Callithrix jacchus: one gene and its partners. The protein of the gene in region 3 interacts with the protein of the main gene of each other region in a biochemical or structural test. Links are inferred from orthologs where the notes say so. Each region holds a gene or a part of one and is shown on either strand. Other genes may lie near its edges.

Region 1 (5,243 bases), on a different chromosome or scaffold from region 3:
AATGTGGGCTATTTTAATGCAAAAGTCCCGTACAAATTATACCACACTATTAAAAGAACGAAATTCTGGGCATTTCTTCTCTGTGGGGACACAGAGGAAAGTGTGAGTCATTTGGCCTGGGGAACTAAAGGGAAGTCCACACAGGGGTATGAACTGGGCTTTGAAGGATGATTAGGAGTTCACCAGGGAGAAAAGAAATTGAGCAGAGAAAACAGCTACGTAAGAAATTGGGGACTGTTGAAGGTATTTGGGAGACAACGTGAAGTTCCCCAAATTGGAGAGATTTCTTTGACTCCAGGCGGAGTCAGACTGGAGTGATTTTCACCCTTAACCTAGAGGAACGTGAGAAGAGGTCATCTAAGAAGCAGGATGGTGAGGTCTCAAAGCCCTGAGGCCTGCTGTATGTATCCACATGGGGGCATGCTTTCTGGGGGCTGCTGTCCATCCCTGAACCAAATGGGCTCTCTTTTCCCAGGACTGGCCCTTGCCCCACAGATGATCACGGGGCCACAGTAAAGTATGGACACATGTGAACACAGGTATTGCTTGTTTATTCAGTGGAGGTGTGGATCTTTAAGTTGTCTTTGGAGGTGGCAAATACAGGTTGTCTCATTCCTCTCATGCACTGAATGTGCCCTACTGTCTCCTGAAGAGGGGGCAAGGAACGGCAAAGACCTGATCCAGCCCCTTGTCCCCACAGGTGACCACCCCTATGAGTGTGAGTTCTGTGGCAGCTGCTTCCGGGATGAGAGCACACTCAAGAGCCACAAACGCATCCACACGGGTGAGAAACCCTACGAGTGCAATGGCTGCGGCAAGAAGTTCAGCCTCAAGCATCAGCTGGAGACGCACTATAGGGTGCACACAGGTACTGAGGGCCAGGGAGGGGCCTGAGCTGGCTCTCAGACCTGGGTGGAGGTGGAAAACCGATGGTCTGTCGGAGAAGCCTAAGTGAGAATGATCCCAGGCTGAACCAAAGAGTAGAAGAGGTTCTATTAAGGGCTGGTATGGTGGCCTGAGGACCATCACACCCCAGTCAAGGCCAAGGCAGACATTACTAATCAATCCCAGCACACTTTCCAATGAGATCCTGCCAGCCCTCCAGGCAGCTATACCAGTGGTTCAGAGGTGACATGCAAAATGATGTCTGTATGTGAGCACTTAGCTGAAAGTGAAGGTTAGGGTAATTTCAGTTGGAGTAAGAATTAGGGTGCATTGAATTAGGTTATTATGAAGGTCGGGAAATTGTAAAGTGAGCTCGTGTTTGGTTCTGAGATTAGAGGAGCAGATACATTTAATAATCCCTGTATGCATATGAGGTTTTACCATTTCAGAGTGCCTTTACATTCTTTTTTTTAAAAACTTTTACTCTTGTTGCCCAGGCTGGAGTGTAATGGCACAATCTCAGCTCACTGCAACCTCCACCCCCCAGGTTCAAGCGATTCTCCTGCCTCAGCCTCCCAATTACCTGGGATTACAGGCATGTGCCACCATGCCCAGCTAATTTTGTATTTTTTTAGTAGAGACAGGGTTTCGCCATGTTGGTCAGGCTGGTCTCAAGCTCCTGACCTCAAGTGATCTACCCACCTCAGCCTCCCAAAGTACTAGGATTTCAAGTGTGAGCCACTGCACCTGGCTACATCTTCTTTATATTGGACAAAGAAATATAGGCTACTCTTTTTCCTGAGGTCAGAAGACAAAATAAGCAGAGGGTCTTCCACAGTTTCCCAAGCTGGGGGCAGTGGAGTCCTGGAGCTGCACGTGCTTTGTGAAAGCTAATTTTTCAGATTTCTTCACAACTTCAAGTTCGGTGACCTCACCTTGGTTGCTCAAAATTGGCCCTGGGAGGAGTCGTCACATCATTGCAATTGGCAGATGCTACAAACCAGGGCTTTTTGGAAAGCCAGTTGTTAAACATTTACCACCAGCACACTGCTGGTTGTGGGGAAGGATGATTCACAGAAGAATAAGAGGTGGTGGAACTTGGAAAACAAAGATGCCCCCTCTGATCAGGGGAGACAGCTGTCCTGTCCAGAGGAAGGAGGAGAGGTGGCCTCAGGCAGGTCCTGCTGGCTTAGGGGAGAGTACATTGCCTTTAGAGGGGAAGGGTAGACCGAAGGAGCAGTAAGCAGAGCTGTGTGTTGTCAGAGCTCAGTATTCTTGCCCCAGTTTGAGCCCACAAGGAGAGGGTGAGGTGTCCATTGCTGACAACTACAGTGACCCAGAGGATTTCCCAGAGCCCTGGGGTTTCCCTAGCCCCTTGTCAGGGATGTGACCTGGCAGGTGGATCATTAACTGTATTGGCAGTGACTATTGTAAATAGCTGGTCGATAGTTAGATCACTTTGGCTGTTCATTACTTCATTATTTGCTGGGGCCTGTGCGTGGAGGAGTATTGATAGCGAGATGGCTGGCCAGTTAATTACTGTATTGAAACAAGGTTCTCTTACATCCTCTGCTCGCCTCCAGGGGACTCTGTGGAAGGAAAGTTGGGGTATAGAAGGCTAGGGTGTGGCTGTGCACTCCCAGGGTCTTTATTCCTCCCATCCCGCTCTACCCCCAATTCCAGCCTCAGGAGGGATGCAGGGTCTGCAGGGCAAGGTCTAGAGTTTTTAGCAGGATAGGCTGGGTGCAGTCGCTCACACCTGTAATCCCAGGACTTTGGGAGGCCGAGGCAGGCAGATCATTTGAGGTCAGGAGGTCAGGAGTTCAAGCCCAGCCTGGCCAACATGGTGAAAACCTGTCTCTACTAAAAATACAAAAATCAGGCCGGCGTGGTGGTGGCACCTGTGATCCCAGCTACTTGGTAGGCTGAGGCAGGGGATCGCTTGAACCTGGGAGGCGGAGGTTGCGGTGAGCTGAGATTGTACCACTGCTTTCAAGCCTGGACAACAGAGTGAGACTTTGTCTCAAAAGAAACAGCTTTAGCAGGATACATGTCCCCAGGTGTAGCATACTTGAAGGGGACACTCGGGGTTCCCTCAGTTTCCCCCCACCTCTGCTCCCCACCATCTGTAGCCCTGAAAGGTCTTGATCCACCTACTCCCTGGATGGAACTGTGGCTTGTGGCTTGAAGAGCCATTCCTGAGGACTTTGGGACCTTTCTCCTTCTAGACATCCATTTTCTTAATTAGAAAGGGAAAGACTTTGGCCTCGGGAGAGTTGAGAATAGTAAGATAAGGAGCTGGGCAATCCAGTAGATTATTAGTAAGACAAGTAGAATAGTAAGACAAGGAGCTGGGCAAACTAGCTACGTGTAGCTATTTAATTAGTTACCATGAAATAAAAATTGGAAAACTGTAGAGCCCCGGTCGAACCAGCCTCGTTCACAGCCGTGTGTAACTGGTGGCTGCCATCTGGGGTGGTACCTTGGTTGTCCCAGGAAGTTCTGTTGGAGTAATCCCTGCTGCAGGAGCCCAGCTTCTCCGGCACCCCCGAGGATGACTTGGGGCCCTCACTGCCCTCTGTCTGTCCTCACTTTCTCCTGCCCCATCTCCCTACCCTCAGGTGAGAAGCCCTTTGAGTGTAAGCTCTGCCACCAGCGCTCCCGGGACTACTCGGCCATGATCAAGCACCTGAGAACACACAACGGCGCCTCGCCCTACCAGTGCACCATCTGCACCGAGTACTGCCCCAGCCTCTCCTCCATGCAGAAGCACATGAAGGGCCACAAGCCCGAGGAGATCCCGCCCGACTGGAGGATAGAGAAGACGTACCTCTACCTGTGCTACGTGTGAAGCGGGGCCCGTGGCGGTGGAGCCAAGCAGGGAGCCAGGAAAGAAGAGTTGGAGCAAGATGAAGTCAAGGAAGGACTGTGAAAAAGAAAAAAAGGAAAAGAAAAAAAAAGAGAAGAGAAAGGAAACCTGATAGCTTTTTGGCCTTGGATTCTCTCTGGGCTCCAGATGACCTGGATGCCAAGCCACTGCCCCTCCTCTGGGGGCCTCCACCCTCCCCTCCCGGCTGGAGGTTTGCCTGATTTTCTGCTATGGGGTGGGGTATGTCGTTCACTCAAATGGCGGCAGATTTTTCTCCTCCCTCCACCCAGTCCTTCCTTTATGTATCCAGAAACGGAGGCTAAGAAGCAGGTGAGCGGTCCTCTGGTAAGAGCCACACAGTCTCTGCCGACCTTCCTCCCCCAGCCCCCCAGAAGATGAAGGGAGGGAAGATGGGGCTGGGCAGCGTCACTAGTTGCTCAAATGGGGCTGCAGATGGGGCTGGGCTGGGTAGTTGCTCAAAATGGCAACTCCAGTTTGCTGGAGGCCAACTGGGGAGAGGAAGGGGTCTGTTTCTCTTCCCACCACTCAGCCCACCTGCTGCTTCCTCTGCTCTGCCACATCTGGGTGTCCCCTGGTGGTCTCGGAGAGCCTCGAGGCCCCTCCCCCCCAGCTCTTTGTTCCCAGCCTCCCCTTGACTCCTGTCCTCCAAGTCCCAGGGGAGTCCCCGCCCCTCAGGGACCTAGCGGTGTCTCCATCCTTCTCCACTTCCCTAGTGGGACAGCTGCCTCTGACTCCAGAGCCCTCCTACCCTCAGCCTTCTGAGAACACAAAACAAATCGAATACCCCACCCTAGTCCAGCCCCATCGTGAGCAGGATTCCTGCTGCGCTGCTTCCAAAATGGAAAAGCATCACAGCTAAATATCTAATGTCCTACCAAACAAACAACAGTCCCTACAGTGGCCCCCTCTTCAGTCCCATGGAGGGTTTATGATCCAAGGGAAGGCTGTGGATGTCTTTCTCTAGAGGGGCCCTCACCTGGAGAAGAGGACACCCCACCCACCTGCCCGCCCGTCAGCCCACCAGCCCGCCTGGGCTGAGGGAAGCTGGGCAAGGCAGGAAGTTGCTGAGTCACACTGGGGACCCCAGAAGTGGTGAGCTCAGCAAGAAAACCCAGGTTGAGAGAGAGTACCACAGAATTCCTGACTCACAGGGCTCCTCGGTCCACAGTGGGGAGGAGGAGAAAGAGGAGGAGGAGGAGGAGGAGAAAGAGGAGGAGGAGGAGGAGGAGAAAGAGGAGGAGGAGGAGAAAGAGGAGGAGGAGGAGGAGGAGTTGAAAGCGCTTTGGCCTTGTGTTATGTTTTGCTTCTTTTCTGTGTCCCTTGTTAGCACATTGTACTTGAATTACCTCAGTTTTTTGTGACCTCATGAGCTTTTTTAACCTCTGTATCTCTTTTTTGGTTGGGGCTTGGAGGAATGGGGAGGGTGTTCTTTTCTGTTTCTTGTGTAAATTAATAGTTGTTTTTATAG
Region 2 (5,243 bases), on a different chromosome or scaffold from region 3:
GCTATGGTTCTCTGCAGCCTCAGACTCCGGGCTCAAATAATACTTCTGCCTCAGTCTCCCAAAATGCTGAGATTGTAGGCTGAAGCCACCATGTCTGGCCCAAGCTCATTTGTTTCTATTTGCATTCAGTGTAATGAGGTTTTGTTACTTTTTGAATTTTATTTGGGATAATATAAACTTTTACATGATTCAGAAGTCACAATGACACTGATTCAGCTAGGTCTCACTCCTGTGCCTGTACCCTCAACTTGTTCCCACTGCCCCATCCAGGGAGCCAGTTTCATTAGTTCTTGGTATGTCCTTCCCTAATCTCCCTTTCTTACCTAAAATCGCTCCATCACAGTGTTTGGAGCTCTTGTTTAGTCCATTTGGAGCTGGACAGTACTCCAGTGTGTGGGTGCACCATAGTTTATTCAATAAGTTCCCTGGTGATAGGGATCTGAGGGATTGTAGCCTTTGGCTGGTAAAAATAATGCTGTAGCAAATAATATCATGCATATGTTCTTTGAGATTTTTGGAGGTGTCTCTAGCATAGATTTCTAGAAAGCATTCCTTAGGTCACATTTAGGTTTATACTTTGACCTCATGGTGATTAGGGTATTCGGGAATGCAAATGAGAGTTTCGAAGAAGCCAGATCTTTTCCAGTAGTTCACTGTTTTTCTCTGACATCAGGACCGTCCAGGTTCCAAGGAGCAGCTGTGGCATTAGGCAGTGCCATGATGGATTGTGTGGAAGTACTGATTCCCGTCTGTCTGCTCTGTTGGCCCACTCTGCCGGTGGCTCCCCTTCTCTCCCTCCTTTATGGGGAACTGCCTAGGGGGCCATTCTCAGAGGCTGATCTTGGATGGGCCACAGGCCACACCTAGCTCCCCAGGGTTCTTTATCATTTCACATTGAGAGCTCTGTACTGGAACAGATTAGGGACCTCCACTTTACAATAAGTAAGACTGCTCTGTGGGTTGTAGGATGCCTCTTAATATGCAGTGACTCGGCAGCCACGCCTTGGCCCCTAAACTGCTGGAGGAAGTTACAGTTTGGGAGAAACTCAGGGGTGAGTTACAGTGGGGACAAGACATTCCCTCACTCTAAGACCTTGTCACTAGATTGGAGCTGCTCTTGCCTCCCTACACCTGACCTAACGGTTCTGGAGAGGTATGTCCTTGTAGCTTCTGACTCCCAGTGCCAACCAGCCTTCAGTAATTTCCCTACATCATTTGAGTCCTGGTTTCCCAAGGATGCTTGCCAGTGTGTGCCGTGGTGCCCTCACTGAACAGTCTGTGCAGTGTAGACAAGAGGGGGAGTCTCTTCGGGTAGACCAGCCACAAGACGGTGACCAGCACTGATGAACCACGTGGGACAGGGGAATTGTGGGGCTGAGAACCTGGAGCGCAGGATAGTCAGGCTCTTTTCCAGAATGAACTGCTAATGAAGGGACTCGCAGGTGGCTGCTGCTTTCCAAGCTGCCCCTGTTGTTGCTGAGACTCTGAAGTCCTAGGAGGTTTCATGGTGGCATACTAGACAGGTTAGTAAAGCATCATGGCCAGACACTGATTCTGGGGCCTGGGGCCTCACGGTGGCCATTTCTGAAGAGACCCTACCAGGCCAAAGTGATGTGCAGAGAAGGGAGCTGCTTCTGTCACCAGAAAAGAATGGGGAGGACTCCCATCCTAGAATAGGAAGGGTGCTCTTCTGCACCAGCAGGAACGGGACACATGGCTCTACCTGGACCACCCCTTTTTCCTTGCTCTTCCCTCTGCATCTGCTGTGGCTGAGGCTATTCCTTGTCAGGGAATGTCTTGTGTTAAAGGCTCACGCCACCTGGGAGCACTTCTCTTATCACCCCAGAACCTGGGTGGCAGTTTCTTGTGACCTGAGTTAGCCATTATTTTTATAGTGCCATTGTACCTTTTCTCCCATGATGCTCACACTAAGGATGCCCAGATGGGTTTACCCATTGTCAAGATAAGGAAACGGAGGCACAGAAGGCTGAGGTCATTTGCTGGGGTTCATGTTTGGAAACTGGCAAAGGATTTGAGTGCAGTTTGGCTCCAAACCTGTGCTTTCCGTAACACTATGGTGTGCCTCATTGAGGATTTATTCTAGAAAACCAAAAAGACGCCCAAGCCCTGGCCTTCACAAAGGAGACCCCCACCCCCATTTGACTCCCTTTCCAGCATTTGACAGTCTCTTGTCAGGCATCGAGCCCAGAGGCCTGTGAGGTGCGACTCATGCTGGGGTGGGATGCTCAGGAGCCACGCAGTGATTCTGCTCAGAGGAAAGGGCTCCGACTCTTCTGCAATGCCAGGAGTGAAACTTGCAGGTGGCCACAGTGCAGGTCGGCCACGCCGGCCAGCACCACCAGGGCCCAAGTTCCTAAAGAAATATTTGGGTCCCAGCTTGGCCTGAGGCCCTGTTGTCCTGGAGAAGGACATCAAGATCTGAGTGTATGATGGACCAGGGCCTTGCATGTGGTGAGCGTCCAAGCCTGCCACTGCTCATTTGTTCTGCAGACTAGCATGTTCTTTGTGATACTTACATACTTGTTTAACACTTCAGGGAAGAAAAGTCAGAAGACCAGGATCTCCAGGGCCTCAAGGACAAGCCCCTCAAGTTCAAAAAGGTGAAGAAAGATAAGAAAGAAGACAAAGAGGGCAAGCATGAGCCCGTGCAGCCATCAGCGCACCACTCTGCCGAGCCCGCAGAGGCAGGCAAAGCGGAGACGTCAGAAGGGTCAGGCTCCGCCCCAGCCGTGCCAGAAGCTTCTGCCTCCCCCAAACAGCGGCGCTCCATCATCCGTGACCGGGGACCCATGTATGATGACCCCACCCTACCTGAAGGCTGGACACGGAAGCTTAAGCAAAGGAAATCTGGCCGCTCTGCTGGGAAGTATGATGTGTATTTGATTAAGTAAGTAAGAGCAACTCCTGTCTCTACAGGGCAGGGAGGGCAGAGACGGGGATCTCTCATGGAGCAGGAAAATGTAGTGCCTAACCCCACAACGGGGGTGGGGGGACCATAAACAGTGAACACCAAGAGCAGGTATGCTTGAAATGACTGTGTGCAGAGGTCAATGTCCTCTATCCTCTCCGCGCCTCGAGTTCTTATCTGGAGATGGAATAGCTGCAGAAGCAGAGGAACTTGCAGAGCCAGGGGTTCTGAGGAGGAGTGAAGAAGCATATTTCTGTTGTGCCCCTTAAATGATCCCAAAAAGGTTAGCAGTTTTCACATGACATTGGCAGATAGCCTCATTTAATTCCATAACCCTGAGAAGAGTGAGCAAAGGATTATCTTGTTGAAACTGATTCCCAGAGAGTTTGAGCACCATACCCGAGTTCAGAATTAGGAATGTTCTAGATGGTGACTCAGGCCCAGGAATGTTCCAGATGGTGACTCAGGCCCAGGCACCAAGCAGCAGAATGGGCCTCAGTCCAACAGCCCCTCTGTACCAGGCCTGACTCTTTGGTTGCTGGACTTTGGAGAGGCCTGGGGAGTCAGGGGCAGGGAGATGAGTGAGTGTCTTTGGTGACAGACAGATCCTCAGGGGCAGCTAGGCAGTGTGATTCTTGTTCAATAGTAACATTTATCAGAGCGTTGTCACCACCATCCGCTCTGCCCTATCTCTGACATTGCCATGGGGAACCTCTAATTGTTTTTTGTGTCTTTCCATTTGTCCTCACAGTCCCCAGGGAAAAGCCTTTCGCTCTAAAGTGGAATTGATTGCATACTTCGAAAAGGTAGGCGACACATCCCTGGACCCTAATGATTTTGACTTCACGGTAACTGGGAGAGGGAGCCCCTCCCGGCGAGAGCAGAAACCACCTAAGAAGCCCAAATCTCCCAAAGCTCCAGGAACTGGCAGAGGCCGGGGACGCCCCAAAGGGAGCGGCACAACGAGACCCAAGGCGGCCACGTCAGAGGGTGTGCAGGTGAAAAGGGTCCTGGAGAAAAGCCCTGGGAAGCTCCTCGTCAAGATGCCTTTCCAAACTTCGCCAGGGGGCAAGGCTGAGGGGGGTGGGGCCACCACATCCACCCAGGTTATGGTGATCAAACGCCCTGGCAGGAAGCGAAAAGCCGAGGCCGACCCTCAGGCCATTCCCAAGAAACGGGGCCGAAAGCCAGGGAGTGTGGTGGCAGCCGCTGCTGCCGAGGCCAAAAAGAAAGCCGTGAAGGAGTCTTCTATCCGATCTGTGCAGGAGACCGTACTCCCCATCAAGAAGCGCAAGACCCGGGAGACGGTCAGCATCGAGGTCAAGGAAGTGGTGAAGCCCCTGCTGGTGTCCACCCTCGGTGAGAAGAGTGGGAAGGGACTGAAGACCTGTAAGAGCCCAGGGCGGAAAAGCAAGGAGAGCAGCCCCAAGGGGCGCAGCAGCAGCGCCTCCTCGCCCCCCAAGAAGGAGCACCACCACCATCACCACCACTCAGAGTCCCCAAAGGCCCCCGTGCCACTGCTCCCACCCCTGCCCCCACCCCCACCTGAGCCCGAGAGCTCCGAGGACCCCACCAGCCCCCCTGAGCCCCAGGACTTGAGCAGCAGCGTCTGCAAAGAGGAGAAGATGCCCAGAGGAGGCTCGCTGGAGAGCGACGGCTGCCCCAAGGAGCCAGCTAAGACTCAGCCCGCGGTCGCTACCGCCGCCACGGCCGCAGAAAAGTACAAACACCGAGGGGAGGGAGAGCGCAAAGACATTGTTTCATCCTCCATGCCAAGGCCAAACAGAGAGGAGCCTGTGGACAGCCGGACGCCCGTGACCGAGAGAGTTAGCTGACTTTACGCAGAGCGGATTGCAAAGCAAACCAACAAGAATAAAGGCAGCTGTTGTCTCTTCTCCTTATGGGTAGGGCTCTGACAAAGCTTCCCGATTAACTGAAATAAAAAATATTTTTTTTTCTTTCAGTAAACTTAGAGTTTCGTGGCTTCAGGGTGGGAGTAGTTGGAGCATTGGGGATGTTTTTCTTACCGACAAGCACAGTCAGGTTGAAGACCTAACCAGGGCCGGAAGTAGCTTTGCACTTTTCTAAACTAGGCTCCTTCAACAAGGCTTGCTGCAGATACTACTGACCAGACAAGCTGTTGACCAGGCACCTCCCTTCCTGCCCAAACCTTTCCCCCATGTGGTCGTTAGAGACAGTTGAGAGGACACTCCCTTTTTCGGTGCCATCAGTGCTCTGTCTACAGCTCCCCCAGCTCCCCCCACCTCCCCCACTCCCAACCATGTTGGGACAGGGAGGTGTGAGGCAGGAGAGA
Region 3 (5,878 bases):
ATTGGAGGACACCACATATCCCACCCCACAGCGTCTCAGCCACAGGCCTAATAAGTTGGCTCCCGCCTCCGCCGGTCATCGCATTGGAAGACTACCCCTGGCTCTCCCACCGCCCCAGGAAGGTAAGTAACCGATGTGGGGTAAAATGTCTGTAAGTGAAACAGGCTCCGCCTACAGCACTGCCGGGCCAGGCCCCGCCCCAAGAATGGGATTGGTTATCTTGGCGCTGGTAGGACCCTCCATTGGCCTGGGCGCCCGTCTAGGAAGGAACTAATTCCGCCCTGCGCGGGGAGGCTGAACCTTAGCAGTCCTTTTGTGGAATGTTTACACTAGAGACTGAAGCTCGGAGTTCCAGGGCCTAAGACAGGACGCAGCGCGGAGCTCATCAGCAGACCCCCCCACATCCTAGGATTTGAATACGAAAGGCAGCCCACCCTGGAGGACGCCCTTACAAAAAAATGAGAGAATGAGAACTCATCGTCCCCATCTAGTTAGTTTACATTCTACATACAGCGTCCTCGTAAACACAAATACCCGGAGCAGCTGGCAATTCTTTTCAGCCAAGTAGAATACAGAACTAAGGTCTGGAGACCTAAGCAGAGAAATTACTCCAGGGGTATTCAGCCCACTCTCTAGAGCTGAAGATGCAGTCCTAGGAGGGCGGAGATAACCAAAAGAGAGGCGGGCCCTAACAGCCACCGCCCTGGCAAGCCTCCGGAGGGCGGAGCGTGAGGCACAAGTACTCACGATCTCCCCGGTGGATCTGGAGGCATCCTAAGAACTGAGAAAGGAGAGGAAAAGATTAAAACAGGCCACGGTATAAATTAACTTTGGGGTCATGTCACACTCAGAGAAAAGATAAAACTTCCGTAGTTGGGGACATAAAACGGCTGTTCACCTTCTCCTTGGCCAAGAGTGTTAATGGCAGTCCCTGTGCCCTCTCTGGTGTAGGTAACAGTGCCTCGAACACACAGTGAGACAAAGTGCTTTTAATTCCTAGTCTGCTTTTATTTATTCACCAAATAAAGCGTGGGCCTGAGCTGACTTCACTTTGAGGGGACACTCTCCCAGCGTCAGGAGAGGGGGCGGGATTAGGTTTTTACCGCACTCCAGAGGAAGCCGAATCCTCCTCCCAAGGGACAGGCACGGCGAACCCACTCCTGGGTCCAACTCTGTTCTCCCTCTGCAATCAGTGGAAATGGCCAGGAAAGAGCTCTGGCAGCAGGTGGGCCTGACTCCAGTGATGGCTTCGAGCCACAAAACCACGACAGCGAATTGTGAAGTTCAAGGGGAGTCGACAGGTGGGAGCAGCCTCGCCAGTAGCCAAGCCCTGTCCCGGAACGGAGCTCTAAAAATAAGACCAACGAAGCGACCCCTGGGCCAAACTGCTGGGATGCTAGGAGGAAGTGGCACTCCAGCAGAACCGACCCAAAACTCCTAACTTTGCGCCCCCTTCCACCACTAAACTGAGTATCACGGGGCAGGCTCACCATGGTATCAAAAACTACTCAGAACCCAAGCCAGCATTAGGCCGCTCACGACTTCCCGTGACCACAGGGTACTACCTGCGCTGGATCTCGCCAAAGGGTCCCAGGCCAGCGCTCTAGGTTGTCAAGAATCTTAGACACAGCCAACTAAGGACGGCAGCTACCTGCCTAGGGAAGAACAAACGCTTTCAGCGTCTACAGAGTTCTCAGTTTAAGCTCAGGGAAGTCAAGGGGCGCGGAAATAGACAAGCCACAGGGTCAGAACTTCAGTACTTGGCCCCGGCCACGAAGTGCAGATCTCAACCCCTGCAGAACCTCCGGAGCTTCGCTACCGAAATCCACTCCTCACTGTAATCCCCTGGCTTCACCCCGAAGGCTACCAAGTCTAGAGCCTCGGTGGAACCTTTGTGTGGCTTCTCGGCTATCCCCGCCCCCCTCGCCAAGGGCGCCGAGCCTAGGACTTCCGGGCGGGAGGGCAGTTCGAAGGAGCGAGGCGGGCCTCACACATGTGCCGAGCGCGCTCAAGAGCGAAGGGAGGAGGCGGGGAACAAGAGTGGACTTCCCACTCCAAGCTCGCAAAGCCGGAGGAGGCCGGGCTACTCGTCCCACCAATCAGAGGCGGGGGCGGGACCCTGCGCCTCTTGTCAGCGGCAGGAACCCTCCCTCCTCCCTCCGCGGAAAAAAAATCCTAGCAACTTAAACTCCAGCCCGGCCTCCCGATAGGCGGAGCTCGGGAGAATGCCATCCAATCCACTTCCGAGAAGGAGGAAAAAAGGGGGTCTCACCCAGCCAGTGGAAGACAAGAGAAGGCGGGGCCCCCGGGCGAGCCCGAGGTAGGTGGGAGAGAGGAAACGGACCCGCCCCTCAGCTCCCCTCCAGGCGGGTTGCACAAGCCGCCGGTGGAGTAGATAGTAAACAGTCTGGGTCGAGGAGTGTTGGCAGGGGCCGCCTGGCGCTCGGTGGACGGGAGCCCCTGCGCCGCCTCTCCCGGCGTTGCCCCGCCCGGCCGGGACGGTTCGCGCCGGCGCTCCGCCTACCCGCTCACGGCCGCCATCCCGGCTGACAGGCGCGCCCCCCGCGCCCCTCCCGCCCGCTGATGCATTTCCTTTTCCCGATTCCGAGCGTGGAGACTGTTTTCCCAGTTTCCGACCTTCACTGCCCCTTTCAGGCCACCCCCTCGTGGGCGCGCACACGCCCGCGCCCCCGCCCCATCCGCGCGGAGCGGCCCGCAGTGGCACCTCGCGGGAAGGGGGAGCCCGGCGGCGGCACGGCCGGGGGAGGGGAAAAGAGCAGCAGTCGCCGCCGCCGCCGCCTTGGGGTGGGCGGGGAAGCAGGCAGCTCCATGTTTGCAAGGAGATCAGCCGGGGCCGCGGGGCGAAGCCGCCGAGTTCCTGGGGGTTTTCCCCACCACCGGTGCGAGCTCCTCGCCGGCTCGCGGCCTGCCGGGTTCTGGCACCGAATGCTGATGACCGCTACGGCCGGGGAGTTCGGAGCCTCGGCAGCTCGCGGGGTTAGCGGCGAGGCGCAGCGGCTCTTTCCGGTGGCCTCTCCCGCCCCCGGCTACCCCTCCCGCAAGTCCGGTGTTGCCCCCGCCCCCCGAGTCCATAACAACCGCGGGCCCACTGTGCCCGCGCCTCTCCAGAGCGCGCCCACCGCCCCCTCCGACAAGTTTGCAGGCAGAAACAAAACCCTCGGGGCGGCTGCCGCCCTTGCTCAGCGTGGGTAGTCGGGAAAGCCGCGGGCCCCGGCTCGCTCGCTAACTCCAGCTCTCAAGCAACTCCGGGCGCCGCAAGCTCAATGGGCCCTGCCGACCATGCTCGAGCCGCCGCCCCCTGCCGAGCCTGCAAGCCGCAACCCGGGCCCGGTTCTAGTCGGCGTGTGGAATCCCCCTTTTCCTTCCTAATGTTTTTCTTTTTTTGAAAAAGGCACAACAGGAGCGGGGGTCTCCTGCCCGCCCCTTCTCCAGTACGCCGCCAAAACCTACCAAAACCGACTGCTCGGTGAGATAAACTAAGCGGCACTGCCGGCGCAGGGACGACCCAGGCCGGACCGACCCCCTCCCCACGGCTCCGGCCCGGCTCGAAACACACACACAGGCGAGCGGGCGGCGCCAAGAGCTCTCCTTCCTGGCCTGTCCCTCGCCTACCTCGGCCGCGGGACTCCGAGCCTCCCCTCAGCTCGGTCCCAGGGCCCGTGGGGCTCACACCACGTCGGGCCGGCCAGACCGAGCGGCCGGGGGATTAGCCCCCCAAACGACTGAGATTGGGGGGACCAAATTAAAAGCAGCTGTTTAACATACCTTCCGAGCCAGGCGAGGAGTCCTGAATGGGGGGGAACGCCCCCCACGGGCCATTGGCTCCCCGGAGCTCACGTCAGTCACCCTGGGCCCGCCTCCGCCCTTCGCCCCGCCTCTTCCCCTTCATTGAATGCTCCCTCCTTCCAAAAAATATAAATAAATTTATTAAACTAAACGCTAGTGAGAGACGTATCCGTGGTAGAGGCCCTTATAGCTTCCACACCGCCGACTGGAGTTTCTTGAGGTCCTCGGACTGGAAGGAGGCCTTCTGGGACTCGGAGATCTTCAGGGTGGATGCGGATGATGAGCCAGCCGGGCTACCCGGCCCCAACTTCCTTCACACACACAACCTATTTGGAGCTAGACAGTATAGGAGGTAGGTGCACCCTAGGCACTGGCTGAGGTGGGCAGACTCCTCTGGCTGTGTGACCTAACCGTGTCCGGTCCACTCTGTTAGGTAGACCTAAAAGCGAGTAACGCAAACGGGAAGCCCTGCTTCCGCGGGCAGCAGGCACTTGTCCCTACTGTGGGTGAGGCAGACATTCATACTGCATCTGCTGCTAGGTGCAGTTACAGACTGGGTGACGTGCTTACTCTACCCCTCCAAGGGCTCCAGATTCAGCCGAGGAGAGTCTACGTAAGGCACTAAGGCAAGGCAGGAATGTGTATGTAAATAGACATCCATAGGAGCTCAGAGAAGAGAGATTCCTTCTGCTGAAGGAAAATTGGTTTCATGGAGGAGGTGGCATTCAAGTTGGGTCTTAAAGATTTCATCAAGCAGAATTGGAGGGGCAGGTCATTGTCAGCAAAGGACACAAAGGGGTAAATGCAAAAAAATGACCTTCATATGTGGCTATAGCCATAAAAAAGGGTTGGGGGTGTGGAAATGGAACCACTTTACAACTTTTAGTTGGGTGAAATTCTTGGATGTGCACAGCCGAATATGCAGGCAGCACCGTCACAGGCCCACAACTATAGTGTAAGATGTTTGGCACCCTGGCAGAAAGATGGGTTCTGACGGTGGACTGAGAAGTGCCTATAAGCAGCAAGGGGAGGCCCAGAGGCTGTTGTAATACTGCGTTTGGAGACTACAGAAGTGCCTCTTGTGGAAGGAATAGCTGGGGGAAGAGAAGGCTTCTTTTCTCTATCCCAGCCACCCAGTCTGAAAGCTCTCCCCACCTTCAGCAGCCTGCAAGTCAAAGCTTTGACTCAGATCTTTCCTTGCATCATTTGCTTTATTTATCATAACTTCCCACCAAAAGGAGTTTCTGGGGGACACAAGCCACCCAACATGTCTGTGTTCCAGAGAGATGAGCCTACCTAGACCCACGGCACACAATGTGAAAAAAATACCTGTTTGTTGAGGCACTAAGAAAAAGGAAGTTAATGTGGATAAGGTGGGGTGTGCAGAATGTGAAGGACCTTGGAGTCCAGTGGGAAGAATGGGGGCCTGCTGCCTGTTAGGAAATTACTGGAAAATCTGTCCCAACAATTCAGGTGACAGGTAAGGAGGAATGACCAGAACAGTGACAATGGGTGAGAAGAATATTGAAGGACAGCTGTATTTGAGAAAGACTCAAGGGGAGTGGGTGAGTGATTCAGTGTGGGTAGGAGAGGGAAAGAGGTAGCCTGTGGCCTGCTGTGTGAAGAGATGATAGAGCTTGAGGCTACTAGTTAGGTAATCTGGGTCCTACACTTAGCATGGTCAGTGACTGGTGTTACAGTCTGTCTCTTCCTCCCTCTGAGCCTCAGTTTCCCTATGAAATGGGGGTGGAAATTGAAATAGAAAGAGAGGCTCTAAGGACCTCACTTAGAATCCAGGTGGGGAAAGCTTGCCATTGAGGAAACAGGGCAGGTGGAAAGAACTATTGATTTTGGAAGTGCAGTAGGTCCCCCCAAGTGGAGTCTAGAGACTAGAATATGCGCAGTAGCTGAGTTGGTTGAAATCACTGGGTGAAAGGTATGGAGAGGGAAAGGACAGGAGAAAAGGACTATGTGTTCAGTGGGAGATCCACACTGGCAGAGCCATGGAGGTTGAGATTCATCCTCCCTAGGGTGAGGATGAAGTTTTCCTTCAGAACAGAGATTCCAGCTG

The links.
Region 1: the proteins of SIN3A (region 3) and ZBTB16 form a complex in vitro, tested with the Homo sapiens proteins (3 studies listed by BioGRID). The link is inferred for Callithrix jacchus from reciprocal best matches to the Homo sapiens genes SIN3A and ZBTB16.
Region 2: the proteins of SIN3A (region 3) and MECP2 form a complex in vitro, tested with the Homo sapiens proteins (2 studies listed by BioGRID). The link is inferred for Callithrix jacchus from reciprocal best matches to the Homo sapiens genes SIN3A and MECP2.

The regions. Positions count from the first base shown.
Region 1 is NC_133511.1:13,929,285-13,934,527, forward strand, and holds part of ZBTB16 (zinc finger and BTB domain-containing protein 16), read left to right. Parts: intron 1-700; coding exon 701-868; intron 869-3,506; coding exon 3,507-3,736; 3' UTR 3,737-5,243. UniProt on the Homo sapiens protein: Acts as a transcriptional repressor. Transcriptional repression may be mediated through recruitment of histone deacetylases to target promoters. May play a role in myeloid maturation and in the development and/or maintenance of other differentiated tissues.
Region 2 is NC_133524.1:149,944,185-149,949,427, reverse strand, and holds part of MECP2 (methyl-CpG-binding protein 2), read left to right. Parts: intron 1-2,557; coding exon 2,558-2,908; intron 2,909-3,680; coding exon 3,681-4,764; 3' UTR 4,765-5,243. UniProt on the Homo sapiens protein: Chromosomal protein that binds to methylated DNA. It can bind specifically to a single methyl-CpG pair. It is not influenced by sequences flanking the methyl-CpGs.
Region 3 is NC_133509.1:22,402,574-22,408,451, reverse strand, and holds the start of SIN3A (paired amphipathic helix protein Sin3a), read right to left. Parts: upstream 3,815-5,878; 5' UTR 3,634-3,814; intron 1-3,633. UniProt on the Homo sapiens protein: Acts as a transcriptional repressor. Corepressor for REST. Interacts with MXI1 to repress MYC responsive genes and antagonize MYC oncogenic activities. Also interacts with MXD1-MAX heterodimers to repress transcription by tethering SIN3A to DNA.